Arabidopsis thaliana: one gene and its partner. The protein of the gene in region 1 interacts with the protein of each later gene in a pairwise test. Each region holds a gene or a part of one and is shown on either strand. Other genes may lie near its edges.

What was found. The genes of interacting proteins can lie anywhere in the genome.
Region 2: the proteins of TCP15 (region 1) and MYB37 interact in binary tests that used the Arabidopsis thaliana proteins (3 or more experiments, as listed by UniProt).

Annotation. Positions count from the first base shown.
Region 1 is NC_003070.9:26,214,328-26,223,092, forward strand, and holds TCP15 (TCP family transcription factor), read left to right. Parts: upstream 1-1,681; 5' UTR 1,682-2,121; coding exon 2,122-3,099; 3' UTR 3,100-3,744; downstream 3,745-8,765. Other genes in the region: HVA22C (HVA22 homologue C), read left to right, coding at 6,010-6,077, 6,323-6,349, 6,710-6,832, 6,914-7,172, 7,259-7,336; AT1G69710 (Regulator of chromosome condensation (RCC1) family with FYVE zinc finger domain-containing protein), read left to right, coding at 7,998-8,018, 8,164-8,229, 8,448-8,534, 8,633-8,722. UniProt on the Arabidopsis thaliana protein: Transcription factor involved the regulation of plant development. Together with TCP14, modulates plant stature by promoting cell division in young internodes. Represses cell proliferation in developing leaf blade and specific floral tissues.
Region 2 is NC_003076.8:7,691,439-7,700,302, reverse strand, and holds MYB37 (myb domain protein 37), read right to left. Parts: upstream 4,169-8,864; 5' UTR 4,070-4,168; coding exon 3,934-4,069; intron 3,842-3,933; coding exon 3,712-3,841; intron 3,315-3,711; coding exon 2,591-3,314; 3' UTR 2,281-2,590; downstream 1-2,280. Other genes in the region: AT5G22990 (C2H2-like zinc finger protein), read left to right, coding at 7,835-8,809. UniProt on the Arabidopsis thaliana protein: Transcription activator of genes involved in the regulation of meristematic competence, such as CUC2.

The DNA of each region.
Region 1 (8,765 bases):
AATTAATGAGTGATTAATTAGTCGGCTGACTTTCTTATTCATAATATCTTCTGATCATATTTGTGAATCGTAATTGTTTTGCTTTTTAGATTTGTCAAATATGCACAACACCTTTTAACTATCAATTCGTTTTCTTTTCTGTTTAGTCTTTGATATATAGTTTTCTTGATATTTTGATTGGTTTACTAATTACTACAAGCAGGCCGATACTTTTAGTTATTTATATTTTACGAGGGAAAATTATGGTCAATGAACATATTCTAGTTAAAACATAAAAAGATATCACATATATAAGTAATTAAAATATAAAATTTTGTCATTTGTAAATATGTTTGGGCGAAAATGTTTGGACATCCCATAGGTTTTATGTGGCTATGCGTAAAGTTTCTAATAGTTAGACTAATCAACGTTCCTAAGAGATCATCAGAACTAGTTACACCTTACACGTAACGTTAATGATTCGTCTAAACTAAGAGACGATAATTAGCCACAATAGAAAATACTATATTTTGATTTTTGAGAAGTTTTATCTTCATAAAGCTTAGACATTTGAAAAAGAATAGTAAGATTATAACAAATATATTTTACAATTTTCAATATATACTAAGAAAGATGAATTTGCCTAAACTCAAAATTAATATGTGTAAGAATTTTTATAATTGGTTTTCTCCATTTCTTTTAACAAAATCATATGTATATTCAAATATACTACCTGGCAATTATTATATGCATGCTTATGTTGGTTTATGTAATAACTTGGATTTATTTTGTTACACTCAATTTCTATAAAACACAAATTTGAGATTTTTAAAAAATATTTATTTAAAATATCTTCATAATAATTCGAATTTACTTTTATATTATTTTTTTCTTTTGTATTCTCTAATTCAATTATATTTTTAACGTTACCATATATATATATATATATATATATATATATATATTACGCTGGTCCTAATTAGTAGTATAATCTATGTAACACCGTATATTTTGATTCTTTGAACAGCTTATATGAATAATCATCACATAAGAAGGAGCCTTCTTCATCACTATTCACTACATATAAAAATTCGTTTCAGAAAAAAAAGATCAATGTTCTGTCCACATCAGAGTATCAAAATAATTTTCTAAATTTAGTGCTACATCTTTTAACGACAATTGTATGTCAATGAGATAACTCCAATGGTGGAAACAAAAGAGAAGCATTACAAATTTGCTTTTATATATCTATAAAGCACTGTAACTATGGTTTTATAAATAATAATATCAAACTGGTAACTCATTCAAGAGTCACAGAGGAGAAAAAACAATCCATCTGTTTCATAAAAAAAGCAGTTGGATTCTATTATATCATGTGGATCTCGTGAACTACCATAGAGCCATGGATTAATCACTGTCATTCTGTCAATAATAATTCTATCTATTTATTATTCTGTTGTCACATATGTACAAAATATATGTAAACTTCTCAGTTCTGTCTGAATCGCTGAAATTTTCGCTAAATGTGCAATTAATTTCCCGATCGCTTGAAGTTAACAGTTACGACGAGAAACTGACGTCACTTTTTAATTATTGTAAAGAATGAAAAAGAGTGTTCGTATAGGGTAATTGTATTATTGTAAAAAACTATGTATCCAAACACAATAAATACACGAACAACATTTATTTTCACTCACTTTGATCACTGTACGTAATAAGGAAAAACATTTTATTTGAATGAATATTTGTACAGATTGGAGAACCACGTAAGCCCATCTCTTTTATTTCCAAAAATAACGAAAAATTCTCAAAGGGAATAGTTTATAATGTAAATAAAATTCCAAAAATAAAACACAAAAGATATAAAGCAGCAAGAGAAAAAAAAAGTCCATGCTTTCATATTCATTGCTTTAATCTCTCTCTCTCTCTCAGACATAGACACAGCTAAGCTTCCCATCTGAAAGGAGTTTCATGTCCTAAGGACCATATTATAACCTCTCTATCTCTCTCTAAGTATCAGCAAAAAAACAGAGATTTATAGAGAGAGAAAAAAACTATGGCTCACATAAAGATCTAACAGAGACAGTAGTATAGTCCCACTTCCCCACCACCAAAGCTTCGATCATCATCATCATCATCATCATGGATCCGGATCCGGATCATAACCATCGACCCAACTTCCCTCTCCAGCTTCTTGATTCTTCTACCTCCTCCTCTTCCACTTCCTTAGCCATCATCTCTACTACTTCCGAACCTAACTCCGAACCTAAGAAGCCTCCTCCTAAACGAACCTCTACTAAAGACCGACACACCAAAGTCGAAGGCCGAGGCCGTCGGATCCGTATGCCTGCCATGTGTGCTGCACGTGTCTTTCAGCTCACACGTGAGCTTGGTCACAAATCCGACGGTGAAACTATTGAGTGGCTACTCCAACAAGCAGAACCAGCGGTTATAGCCGCTACAGGGACTGGAACCATTCCGGCTAACTTCACTTCTTTAAACATCTCACTTCGTAGCTCAAGATCTTCTCTCTCTGCTGCTCATCTTCGTACAACTCCTAGTAGCTATTACTTTCATTCACCACATCAGTCCATGACTCATCATCTTCAACATCAGCATCAGGTTCGTCCCAAGAACGAGTCACATTCTTCGTCTTCTTCTTCTTCACAGCTTTTAGATCACAACCAAATGGGTAACTATCTAGTACAATCAACTGCTGGATCTTTACCTACGAGTCAGAGTCCTGCAACGGCACCGTTTTGGAGTAGTGGTGACAACACACAGAATCTTTGGGCTTTTAATATTAATCCTCATCATTCCGGTGTTGTCGCCGGAGATGTTTACAACCCCAACAGTGGTGGTAGTGGCGGCGGTAGTGGAGTTCATTTGATGAATTTTGCAGCTCCTATTGCTTTGTTTTCTGGACAGCCTTTGGCTTCTGGTTATGGAGGAGGAGGAGGTGGCGGTGGAGAACATAGCCATTATGGAGTTTTAGCGGCGTTGAATGCTGCTTACCGACCGGTGGCGGAGACGGGGAACCATAACAACAACCAGCAAAACCGTGACGGAGATCATCATCACAACCATCAAGAAGATGGAAGCACCAGTCATCATTCCTAGGCAAACATACACAAACAAATATATTCTGTGAGATTTATTTTTCTTTTTTTGTCCTTTCGTTTGTTTGTTTGTTCTTAACAAGCGTGTTTTTTTTGCATTGCTTCTTTTTCATATATTTTTATTTATTTCTAAATTCTAATATTCTACGGATTTCATCTTGTTTATTTTTCTGATTAATGTATTGAGTAAGTAATTAAGAACCTGATAATCGATATGTTTTAGTTTGTGGTTTTTGCATGCAAGGCTTTGGTTTTATTATTCTAGAGATTTTTGCTTGAAGTAGTTGTCTTGTGAAATGTTTTCCTCATTACTATTGAGTGTGAGAGTTTTCTAATACTTGATTAGGGTTTTTGAACAATTTTTATATATGTATATTAATTCAGTACGGATTATCAATAAATTATTTCGCATGCCAAATTATTATCTTCCACTTCGTTCATGGTTACATTGTCTCGAAGAAGCTACATCTTATGCATTGTGAGCAATTATTCAGGTTCTAGCTATCTCTTTTAATATGTTAATTTCTTTGCATGATTAACATCTTACTCCTGACTGGTCTATTGGTGACTATGCTAAGATAATGTAGATATATATAGTAACAAAATCATATAGGTCAAAGCATTAAGTGTGATTGTTTTGGTTAATTATAAGTGTGTTGACGAGGGGATGCATTGTAGATATGATGCCATATTAATGCCAGTAGGTTTATGCGCATGGTGGTTTGGATACGTTCAATTTATAGCCGTTGCAAAAATTGAAGGCATTTAATTTTGCTAATGATATTACCAAAATTATTTGATTATGAATCAAAAGATACAAGGAGAATTATCAAAAAAAAAATATATAGGTCCATTATCCGTATAAGGTAGCTAAGAACTTAATTAGTCTGGTGCTATGTTTGAAGACTCACGTACGATTTACAATCTCTGGATCTATGAAACTCATCACCAAGCAGGAACCTGTATTTATACGTCAATATTTGTGAATTTTCGGATACCCAAAAAATACCAAGAATATATATTTCATTTTCTGCTGAAAATCAGAGAAAAATGTGTTTTAAAAACAATGTCTATAAACAAATTTATAGATTGAAGTTAGAACTAAAAACTTTTGATGGTTATAGATTTCAGCTTGATCATTTATTTCTGAAGTGTTTTCGTTGGATGAAACATAGATTATATATGTCTATAATTAATTGAGACATATACATTGATGATATACAAAATAACCAGGAATTTTTCGTTATACAGAAAAATACACAAGTCTATGTAACATGCGTAATAACCATATGGTCCATATCGCTGCATTTTGTGTCGGTCTACATTATTGGATTTATTTTAGTATAATGTATGTGATACGTTCTTACCATGCATGGGTATACATAGAGAAAGGTGTATAAATCAACGAGCATGGGAATTATGACGTTAATAATTCTAAAATAATGCACACACATCCTGTTAATATAAACAATATAAATTATATATCAGTTTATTATGGAAATAATACTTGAAACTTCTATAGATCGGTGTGAACCATTCCTTGACATCATAGGCATGTCGGTTATATAACCTCATCCATATGTTCTATCAATTAATCAAATATGGTAATTAAAGAAAGTCAAATATTGTGACATACATGCATTTTTTTTTACTAACGGTTGATATCAAGCATTTATAGACGAACGTCTATTTGATGATCTCAATAATCATATCAATTGGCGGCTAAACTAAACTAGATTTCACGATGACAAAAGTAAAATGTATATATAGACACTAAAACACAGATGATGTCATGAATCTTTTTTGATATTTGTATATTATTGTTTACGTATTACTTTCTAGATAAACAATAAGATACGAGTCATGACCGATCATTGTTTCTATGTCGGCGTTTTATTTTATAGTAAAAAGAAATCTGCAACAAAAGGAAAGGGCACAACAAGTAGATCAAGTAGTAGTAATCTGGCATTACTCAATAGGTCCAAAAGGAATTAAAATGTTCACTAAAGTATGCTTAAAATATAGATGTATGGATCTACGTAGTTATAAGTAGTTAAGTACCATTATAGAAGAGTGTATTCATGTGGGTTCTTTGTTTTTGATCTGGAAAAGATTAGATGATCATCATTCCATCACTTGCTTATCTATTTTGTTTAATCATTCTTCTTCTTCACTATAATCATTCTATATATTTCTGGAAGATATCATGATAAAGAAGATATATTTATCTATAATCACAAAATGTTTTGAACCTTTTCATTTATGAAAGAAAAAGAACTAATTAGATGATACTTTTCTAAGTTCCAGCCCAGTTTGGATAGTGAATATATTTTCTCCATCCCCATTGATTGGTATTGATGGGCTAGATATATGACATGGGATCTCATAAGGCCTATTTATTAAATGTTTTGTAAGGCCCACGTATTGGGCTAAGAGAAAAAAAAAAGAGAGTACTCAAGTATAGGTTTGTGTTTTTCAAGGCAAAAGTCAAAGTATTGTCTAGAGACACTGGCACTTGATAGATTAGACGCATAATGTATTCAACATAATCAATTTAGAATAAAAATTACAAAATGTAGTATAGTAAAGAGTTATACTAATAGTTTTTTTTTAGAAGTATATAAGACCAATTAAAGGAAATAAATCGCAATTAATATTCTACTTTTGTTTAGTAAGGAAATAAAATTATCGACAGTAATGAGTAAAATTTTCGGTACCTCTTCATCCATTTTTCTTTTTACCTAAAATTTGAAAGTAAAAAAAAAGAAAAGAAGCGAGTGGTCATAAAAGTCCAAGAAGTCTCTGTAAGTGAAACCTGGCCTCCACTTTTGTTTTTCCACTTCTACGGTAAGTGAAAGAGAGAGAGAGAGAGGAAAAAAAAGGGGAAAGCTTAAGATATTGGAGAGTAACAATGCCTTCAAATTCAGGAGATGATAATGTTCTTCAAGTTCTCATAAAGAACTTTGATGTCCTTGCTCTGTAAATCTCTCTCCCTCTCTGCCTCTTCTTTAATTTCTCTTTACAGATCCTATCTTGATATTTTGTGTGTGTGTTAATTAGATCCTATCTAGTTTCTTTAGTTTTATTGCTAACTGGGTTTAGCTACATTGTCTACTTAGATTCTTGAAAATGAAACCCTCTTTAGATTAGTACTAATTTTTTGGAGTTTTTGTTTTTGAACGGAATCTTGAAAGTTGAAACTTACAACATTTTTGCTTTTGCAGCCCATTGGTTACACTCGTCTATCCTCTGTAAGTAAAACCAATCTCTCTCATATATACATTTGTGTGTTAAATCTGTTGCATCAGTTGATAGAGATTTTATTGTAAGCAAAACTCACATTTTTAGGCCAATCTTTAGTTCAGATTCATATGAACATTAGAAATTTTTGTGGAAAAAGAATCAAAAACTTAACCTTTTGAAACATTTGATCCTCTGTCATTAAGGAATAATTAAAAAAGAGTACGAATCTTGACTTAGATAGATGCACGTATATCCACACACACCCACTTAGAATCCAAGACACGAGGCATTACACTTTTGTATGTATTCAATTATTTATTACAAAAAAATATGAGAAAACTAATTATGTTTGTGAAAAAAATGAACAGATATGCATCAGTGAAAGCAATAGAGACAAGATCATTACCAGAAGATGAACAATGGCTTACTTACTGGGTTCTTTACGCACTTATCTCTCTCTTTGAACTCACTTTCTCCAAACCTCTCGAGTGGTTAGTGAATTCATTAACACTTTTAATATCTTCTTAACATGTATTCATCATAATATTAGTTTTTGTTTTTGTTATCATAAGGTTTCCTATATGGCCATACATGAAGTTGTTTGGGATCTGTTGGTTAGTGTTACCACAATTCAATGGAGCAGAACATATCTACAAACATTTCATTAGACCATTCTACAGAGATCCTCAAAGAGCTACCACCAAAATTTGGTATGTTCCTCACAAGAAATTCAATTTCTTCCCTAAACGCGACGACGACGACATTCTCACTGCTGCTGAAAAATACATGGAACAACACGGTACCGAAGCGTTTGAGCGAATGATCGTTAAGGTAAGTAAAATTCACATTGACATTTACATAATCATTTTCATATGTAATGTACATTTGGTAATGAATGTTGTGTTTTGTGAATGCAGAAGGATAGTTATGAAAGAGGTAGGAGTAGTAGAGGAATCAATAATCACATGATCTTTGATGATGACTATAGGTACTAATAAGTTCTTAAACCGGTTTAATTAGCTACTTTCAGTTTATAAGTTTGCTATGTGACAATATATTGTCTGTTTCTATGGTTGTTATAATTTGCGTGGATTATGTATAAGCCCTTATTTAGGACTGCTTATTTTTGTGAAAAATCAAATAAACATTTTCTCTCCTTTGCGTGTGTAAGCAAACTTAAAGTCAAAATTAGTGGGCCAAGCTCTGTCCAGTTTTACACTTAGATGATTAGACTATTCAATTATTTAACGAGTTGGGCTTGTAACAAAATGGGCCGGGCTTAGATAATTATTAATGATATGCGAATTTTGAAAGGAGCTAATGATGAAATAAAAATTTGAATAAACGGGAGCGAAGCAGAAGCGTAGGTTCTCAAATCACGAATAGCCTCTCGAATCATCGCCGGCGATCGACGTTGGTACTGCTTCTACGTCCGGCGAGGATATTTTCTGGATTCTGTTCTTTCGCTATTGATCAATCATAGAGATTCTTCATTGAGGTTTTTCAGATTGATTAGGATTTGCTTCGTCTTCGATTTAATCATAATCACGAGGATTTGAAAAATATTGGTGAACAACGATTTGGTGAAGAAGAATTGGAGTATAAATTGTTTGTTTCTGAGGATTCTTCAGAGTGTATTTTCTTGTTGTTTGGTTAATGTGCATTTTGGAGTTGAGAGTTTGGGGGATTTTGAAATCTTAGATTTTGAAGGAGGAAGCTAAAGTAGTAGAATGGGTTAGATAAGAATTAGGAATATGATTGGAAAGACATTCGAGTGATGTTAAACGATTTGGTTGAGAAATATGATTCGAAAGGGAATTAGCTCTTTGCAGCAGCTTCAATGGCTGATTCCTTGAGAACTAGTTTCTCTGAGAGAGACGTTGAACAGGTACTTTACTCTTTTATCACCTTTCTTCTGTTGAAACATTGGAAGATGGAAACTTTTGTTCATATATGCTTAGAATACGCAATTGCTCTGAAGAATCACATTGAGTTTGATGTGTTTATATAACTCACTTTCTACACCTAAGTCATTAAAAATGTTATCTTTTGATGTGATTCCCTTTTAGTGGGTATGGTATTAAGAAGTGTGTCTTTCCTATTCAGGCCATTACGTCACTTAAGAAAGGGTCTTACTTGTTGAAATATGGACGTAGAGGGAAGCCTAAGTTTTGTCCATTCCAGCTCACAAGTGTAAGGTTTTCTTGGACTCCTATGTTTCTCTTTAGAGAGAGAGAACTTTCTGTATTCTTTTGGTTTGCTCAATTATATTACATGTGAATTTGTCATAGGACGAGTCTGCATTAGTATGGTACTCTGGCAAAGAAGAGAAGCAGATTAAACTGAGTCAAGTCCTGAGAATTGTTCCTGGACAACGCACGGTGAGTTTCTCTCTGCAATATTCATGTATGCTCATAAACAAGT
Region 2 (8,864 bases), on another chromosome or scaffold:
TAATCAAGTTTTTAGAGAGTTGATTGTTTGTCATGAAGTAAGATGAACAATTTCTACACAAATTAAAGGGCCTATGGGCTTATAAGTCCCAATTCTTTTTTGGACCAAAAGCTTAATATATCGACCACATACTAAGGGTCCACTAACCATCCGAGAGAGAGATCTTGAGCTTGGTTGGTGGCATCCCTCCATTTCGTTTCAACTCTTCCGTTCGCTTAAAGTTTAGATGAATATAAATCTCTTTTTTAAGATGAATATCAGAATATGATCTATTTATTAAAGTCAGTTAAACATTATTTGTTTTATAAAGTCTCAAATATTTTATATATTCGATCCTTTCTATTTATTTTACCATATGTAACGTTGTATTAGACCGACGTGTAACGTTATTGTCCCTACCTTACTTTTTCTTACTTTTAGTAAATTTTCTTACAAGAAAAAGCAGAGAATAATAGTAATCGAAGGATATGTGCTGAAGGAAAAGATGAACCATCTGGGAAGGGTATATATGTCATTTTCACAAATGAATAGTATCTGCATTTCCATCAATCAATTTCTCCTGGCCGCTCGAGTTACTGACCAAAGGTGATGACTTTTATACACAATCCTTTCCTTCTCTTTCTCTATAGACAACTATACACAATCTTTACATTTTGCTCGTTATTTAATTTAGGCCTCTCAAAACTTTAGACCGGTTCTCAAAAAGAGAATACAAACAACACAACGACAAATAATACAGATATTTCTATATATGCCTATATATTGTAGTGTGTAGTACTCTTTATAATGAACAGATAGTCTACTGGAAACAAAGACTTCTTACAAGTTATCCCATCTAAAAACTTTATCTCGTGGAATTTGATATTACAAAGAATTGGAAAATAAAATCATGGGAAAAATTAAGGTCTTCTTTTGATTTAGTTTTTTTAGTTTCTCATTGATTTAAGGGTTTGATTAGTTTTGTTGCAACTCTCTGTGCAAACGTTATATATATAATTATTTAATTATATATTAAATTAATTATATAGTTATACATGTTTAACAATAATCATGGAAACTATTTTATACCGCTTCATAATGTTTATACAGTTCTCAACTAAAAGTTTCTTCATTTGAACGTTGTGATGCAACGCAGGTCCTGGTTAGCTGTTGGTAGTCATTAGAAAATATATTATTTTTACAAAAAAGAAATGGTCAGAACAATTTTACTATGAATATTAATTTACAAACGGTCTCTAAACTTCCACCAAGAGACCCCGTAATATAAAGTTACCAAAAAAAAATCAAAATATTTCAACGCAAATTTCATCATGTTATTAAAGTCGTATAAAATATTTGTACTTGATATATTCGATTTAACTAAAATCTATTTGTAGTTATAAAAGGAACAATTTAGACATAAACATATGTACCAAATCTCCTTAAAATATTCTTAATTAGTTATACTATGATTTATTTAAAATATAGTTTCAACTAGGGCTGAGAATATAGATAACTCATTTGGATTCGGGTTTTAGATATCTTACTATATTTTTTAATGTAGTTATTTTGTTAATTTATAATAAATTTAATTATATTTGAATATTTTTTATAAAATTTTGACAAATAGGATAAATAATTTTTATATAGTTTAGTTGCTTTGGGTATTTAGGTTTAAAATTAATTGAGAGATTTAGATTTATAATTATAAGTTTAGATATTAGATTATAGTAAAATTAAATATAATTAATATTTTGTATATTAAAATTATATGTTTGGGTAATGGATAATTTACGGACTGGCCCGATACCCACATGTTTACTAAAACTCTATTCAGTAAAATAATTTTCAACTCTAGATCTTCTCAACCCGGTTTTTTTGTTCGAGTATCAGTTTGGATATTGGGTTCGGTTTTTTTGCCCAGGTTTACTTTCAACAATTTAACTATATTGACTCTAAATATACAATTAGGATTAAATAAAATATATCTTTCATAGGTTTTATGTTAAAACATTATATATAAAATAGTAAGATCATTCGCTACAAATTATTTATCTATCGGACATTTCAGTTTGGAAGTTTAGTTCTTTAGCATATGTGTTGTTAACAATAAAACATATATATGTCTTGCAAGTGCGTATATATCTTTAACTAAAAAAGTGCGTGTATATACGATTTTGTTTGCTATATATAGCATACACATATAATGGTAATAGTCTCATCTAATTATAGAAACAATAAAATGCTATATATGTGTGTGGGCGTGTGTGTGTGTATAGTCGTTCGTATGTATAGATCACATACTTTGTTCTTAGTTTTATCTGAAAGCTGAAATGATCTACTCTTCTCGACCAAAACGAAGATCTACTCTTACATCCTTTTGGGTTTCATCAAATCAAATCTCCCATAGTCCCATTAACATTGTCTCTTCTTAACTAGAAATCCAATAAAGAGAGATAAATAAACAAAAAAAAAATACAAAATCCCATAAAACTGATCATAGTCGCTCTCTATCTCATTCTCTCTCCTCCCATACCCCATCAAATCTTTGATATTACTAACAGTCAGTCCAAGATATATTTATATAAGAAGACAAGAGAGTCTAGAAGAACTAGGAGTAGAAATAGGGCAAGCATTTGTATTCTAGTAGGAGGCTACCACTGCTTTTGTTCTCAGCTAGGTTGCTTATCGAACTAGAAGATGAACCTGAACCACCCATGTTTATGTTAGAATTAGTGCCTGTTCCACTAATCATTTGCTTCAAATCCCCATGCCCATTGTAGTAATTATAATACCCTTGTGTGAATTCCCCATTGTACCCTTTTGTCCTCTGGTCAATGTGGTGGTCTATCATCATCATCATCATTATCTCTTCTTGCTTCATCATAATCTCTGATCTTATCCCATTGACGTCTGAAGAAAAACTGGTGTGGTTCTTGTACTGATCACACATATTGTGGTTGAGCAAGAAACCATTTGCGTTCGAGGTGTTGTTGTTGCTGTCCGAGAGATAGAGATCTTGAGGATAATTAGGGTTAATATAGGAAATTATCTGTTTGTCACCAGCTTCGAAGCCATTGATGCTGGAGATGAGGGATTTTGTTGGGTATTGATTAGGGTTTTCAGCATACGGATTGTAAGAAGAAGATGGGATTGTTGTTGGTGAGGTTGGTCTTTTCACATCCTGAGAAATAGGGTTTAGATAAGGAGAAGCCATGGCTGATGATGATGAATCAGAGGAAGAAGACAAGAGTTTCTTCCTTAGCTTTGTGTTCCAATAGTTTTTTATGTCGTTGTCTGTTCGTCCCGGTAGATGAGCTGCTATTATTGACCACCTACAAGTTTCAATTGATGTATATTAATAGCTAATATTGGAGAAAAGTATAGCACTCTTGATGAATTAAAGTTGCTCGTAGTTTTGACTAAATCATGGAATCAATGTAGCTCGTGATTTTGACTAGATTTATGAAGAAATTAAGCACGTTTGGAAATATTTTGATCATTACTTCAAAATAACACATAAATTCAAAATTAGATTTAGGAGAAATTTTGTTACTATTATAAGATTAATTGAAGGAGAGTGTGAATTAATATTTTCTTTAAACCTATCTAAGCAGATAACTATGAAAGGGCCTTCACAGGCAAGTGGGCGAAAAAATGATTTCATTTCTACATTTTTTGTAAGGATCTTATATGATTAAAGATGATTTCAAAAGGAATTAATTAGAGAACCTGCTTCCTATGGCAGCGAAGAGACTAAAAATGATCCTGTCTTCTTCCTCAGAGAAGTCACCATGCTTTATGTTTGGTCTCAAATAGTTTAGCCACCTCAGTCTACAACTCTTCCCACATCTCCTCAAACCTTAAACCACAACAAAGAATGGCATAAGCTCTTATTTGGGCTTAGAAGCTCGAAAAGGTTATCTAGGATTAAGAACATGTGTATGAACTTACCGGCTTTGAGGGGGAAAGAGATCCAATTTCCACCATTACCATACTTTTCAATGTAATCTCTAAGTTTAGAGTCTTCTTCAGGCGACCAAGGCCCTCGCTTCACTTTTGTCTTGTCGCAACACGGAGCTCTTCCCATTTCTCTCGTTAGTGAATTGAAGTTTGAAGAAGAGAAAAGAAAAAGAGAGAAATTGTTATCTCTTACTTGCTTTTTTTAGGATGGACTTTTTGTGTTTATGGAGGAGTAGTTGAATATGTGCCCTTTTAATAAGAGACTTGGATTTGGACACACCCTATCAATTATTATTATATATTATTATCTGGAGAACCAATTATTTATTTCATTTTGTCTCTAAAGCTATGGGTATGGAGAAGTCAACATGATTGACATGCATGCATATTTATTGTTCGTGTTTGAAAAAATTAGATTTCCAATTATTCATTTTATTTTAGCTCGCGCTTCGTTTGATAAAATTACGTTAAAACAAATTAACTGTTCAAAAGATAAACTTTATTTATCCCTTCTTTATGAGGATTTCAATGTCTTTTATTTCATAACTTGGGGTTAGTCTGGAATATCCCTACCAAAATCCAGAGTAATTCCAGAGTAACTTGGTTGTCAGCATACGCATGGTCCAAACTCCAAACAATCAAAATTGAATCATTAATATCAAGAGAAATGCAAATATTTAAAATCCAGAACTTTGTAATGAGTTGACAAAAAAAAAAGTCATTAACTAAAATTATCAGCAGGTTTCTTGATTTGATCATTCGTCCAAATGTATTTTCATACATATGCACATCAACTTGCTAGTTAGTTTTCATCATGAATTTCAAAAGTAAAAAGGAAAAAGAAAAAAAAAACAGTCCCAAGTGGTGTTGATATTACACGGATAAAAGGAAGAAAACATGTTGGAAGAGAAGATTGCATTGGACGGACCAGTGAACTATATGGAACTGTCTGATTATAAAGTGACAAAAAAACAAAACTCAATTTTTGTGAAATTCTATTAACCAAAAATGTATCATCACGAGTTGACTTACCAATGTTGTTTTTCATTATTACATTTAGTAAAGTGCCAAAAGAACCCTTCATAATTATTCATTCGTACTACTTTGATGGACACTTGCATGCATGAATAAATCTTTTGAATTATTTTTTCACACAAACATATAAATATATGTACATAGATGAGTTTCGTGATATGTGCTCTATATATCTATACATATATGAATATCATGATGATCAGGTGTATTTTTGGCCCGACTAATCAACTTCAGAGCTATAATGACCCATCGATGTATCCATATATATGTGTACAATTGATAGATCTACTGTTTTACATCATTTAAGGTACATGTGTTTGATTTACGCATGCAGATATAGTCACACACTCATTTCCACAAATGTGCAAGTAATATGGTACAAATGGCCAAACAAAAGTTTCCTGATTCGTGGTGTACTCCTTACATTTGCTATATTACATTTACATGTGTTACAAAAGGAACTTATACGTGTAGTTACATTCTTTTAGTCATAATTATAGGGAAATAACCTCTCTCTTTTTCTTGTAAAACTGGTAACTTAGTTGTTATTGTTGAAATGTTGTCTAGTCTTGTAAGATAAATTAAGGGTTTAAAATCTCCAAATTGGGCTGCAAATTCACTACAGCCCAAACATATAGGATATTAGGTTGATAAGTAATTATTAAAAAAAAATTAATTTTTAAATACAAATCTGAAATTAAACATGGTAAATAATAATACACATTGTAATTAAGCTATGTATGTATGTGCCTTACAACTTCTAGATGTTATATGCCGTGAAGAATGTCAAATTAGTATCCTCAATATTCTACTCTTTTAATGTAAAATATAATCAAAAACAATATTCTAAATATATATGTGATGTTGTAGTTAAAAATATGCATATTAATATCTTTATTTTAATTTTATATTTTCTATATAAGAAAAGGTGTCTTTAGTCAAATGGTTGATGGTCTATATTTGTAGTCTTATACGTCGGATTTTGACTCGAGTAAATCGTGTTATCATGTGAAGTACTAGGGACTGGATTTTGGGTGAAGCTTTGTCGAGGCAAATAATGTCAACAATATTTTTTTCTAGGTAAAATTAATTAAAAACACGTAATTTATTGAGTGGTTAATGAAAATAATAAAGAATTTGAACTGCAGGTGATCTTTGGCTTTTTAATTCTTTTGTCAATTTACGATTGCATCAATCCCTTTCTCCTACGTCTGCCCTTGAGTTGTAATGTTCAATGCATATGTAGAAAATAGTATGGAATAATTAGCATAAGAGGGAAAACAGTATTGACTCATTGGTGTTCCATGGTTTCCAGACGCAATTAAGAACGATATATACTCATAATTGCTTTTAAACATTTTTGCACCAGAAATTATTAGTATCACTGAATATTTCTCATGCGTCACCTCTTAGACAGGCAATTATTGTATATTTTCTGATCAGTATTATAATTGCATCCATAATAAGAATTATTAGGAAAACAACAACTCATTTCTTATATGCGTGAAGGAGGCAGTAAATAAATAAAAGTATGCTACTATATATGTGTTGACGAAAAGAGATTGATTTATATTTTATTGAAACAAAACAAATAATTTAGATTTAATTGAGTCAAACTATGATTGGATGATGGATACCAAAAAGACAAGAGTCTTTTTCTAGTTTGACTAAGTGTTTATAACTCTGTTTTTCCTCAACGGTTGGCAAACTAAAGTGGACAATTTTACTGAAGTTTTTTGCCAGGCTGTTAAACCATTTCAATATATCAATTTCTAAAAGCAAATTATATAGATATATATACTTTATATGTTATATTAAACAGATATTTTTCAACCTATAAATTATATTATATGTTAATATTAAACAGATATTTTTCAACCTATTAATTATAAAAGTTGTTACCTAATACCCACTGTTACAAATAGACATTAGTAATTTTATGCCAGCAGTATATATCCTTACTATATAGTATGTTAAAAGAGATTTTATGAAAAGGGTACTAAATTTGACCCAATCGATAGTTTAATTTATATTTTGAATTCTTAGCTAAGCAAATTATATCAAGTATAGTATTTTTCTTATTTTGTTGTTTTAAAATAGAGCCATAAGAAAAAATAATATTATTTTTAACCCAGTCAGATAATTTTAGTTTATATTTTTCCTTTTCCCTTTCAATTTTTTTATTATATGAACTCATTATATCTGATACATAGAACGTTATATATATCCAATTTTCTATTAATAAATCAAAAGCTTATCTAAATATCCTATATAAACTTTCCATGGATTTCATATAAAACTTATTATATTGAAAATAATGTTGATGGTGAATATTGGAAAACAAATCTCGACATAGTTATGTATTATATCTAATATGTTATATTTTTAAAACAAATAATTAGAAATCTACACAATAAATGTTAAAAAAAAAACCTCAAGTCTGATAATATTAATTAAAAAACAAAATTTTTTTTTTTTTTAAAACTCAAGTTATATCTAACATTTAAAACAGATGAACAAAAACGGAGTCAACAAGTATTTAGTGGTCCAAAACATTGGCAATATAGAAGAGGATTTCGAGATCATTGCCTAAATAAAAAGAACTTTTTTACTTTATCAAAATATTAGCATACACATAGAATTTTATTTTTGTTCAAAAGTAATAATGAATATTAGAAGATTACATGCATAAAAATTTATTATAATTCAAAAATAATAAATATGGACTAGATTTTTCTCCTTTCGTGTTTAATATCTTTTTTATAATGAATTTATCTGTTTGTTTTATTAATATGTACATATCAATATAAAAGGCGACATACTTGAAAATGTAAAATATGCTCTCTTGATTTTCAAAATGACTTCAATCCCAAATGGCTTAAATTCTTATGTTGACGATACTGTGAACATTTGTGGTTTTACTCCCATCGAAATGAGTTCCAACCTTAGGAATCATGAGTCTAAGATGGTTCACTCAATGTTCAATACTTCTGACCACACGAATCATCATGGTTTGTTTTCTTCCTCTCGTGTGTTTAATTTTTATCAAGATTCACATGTTTCTTCATCTTCTTTTGGTTTCAACAATTCACATATGGCTTATCATATGAGAAAAAACATGGTTTCCACTTTTGGGATGCCTTGCATAACTCAAAACTCAAATAACCCTCATCTTTCTCAAATCTCTATTACTCAAACTATCACAAATAGCTATTCTGCTATTGTTCCTACCTATAATCTTATTACTTCCCAAAATGAATATCAACGTGCCAAAGAACCCAACATCTTCAATCCTCCTTTTTACCCTCCAAATTTTGTTGACAAAAATGTTGGAAACCAATGCCAGATCTTGAATCCTACACCCCTCAATACCATTTTTCCACATCAAGCTTCCATATTTCCTAGGAATGTAGACAAATTTTCTTTTTCACCAAAACAGAACCCTCACCAATATGTTTCGTATCGCCAACCCCTGAAAAGACATTGTAGACCAACCAAAAAATTTGAAAATACTTTTAGTGATTTTGATTCTGGAAAAGATATTGAATACGATGGTCGGACGCATAGCTTACCATATGAGAAATACGGTCCATATACATGTCCCAAATGTAACAGTGTGTTTGACACTTCACAAAAGTTTGCTGCACATATATCATCGATGCACTACAAAAATGAGTCCATAGAAGAGAAATTTAAGAGATATAATGCAAGGAACAAAAAGAGATTACGTAAAAGAAACCAAATGATCCATGAAGAATCTAACAATATCCAACCAGAAGAGATAGTTGCAGAGGAAAGCGGAGGCGATAACAACATAGCAAGTAGCAAGTGACATTGAAACTTTACAACATCAAGAAAAATCAAAGGATATAGAATCCTTGTTATGC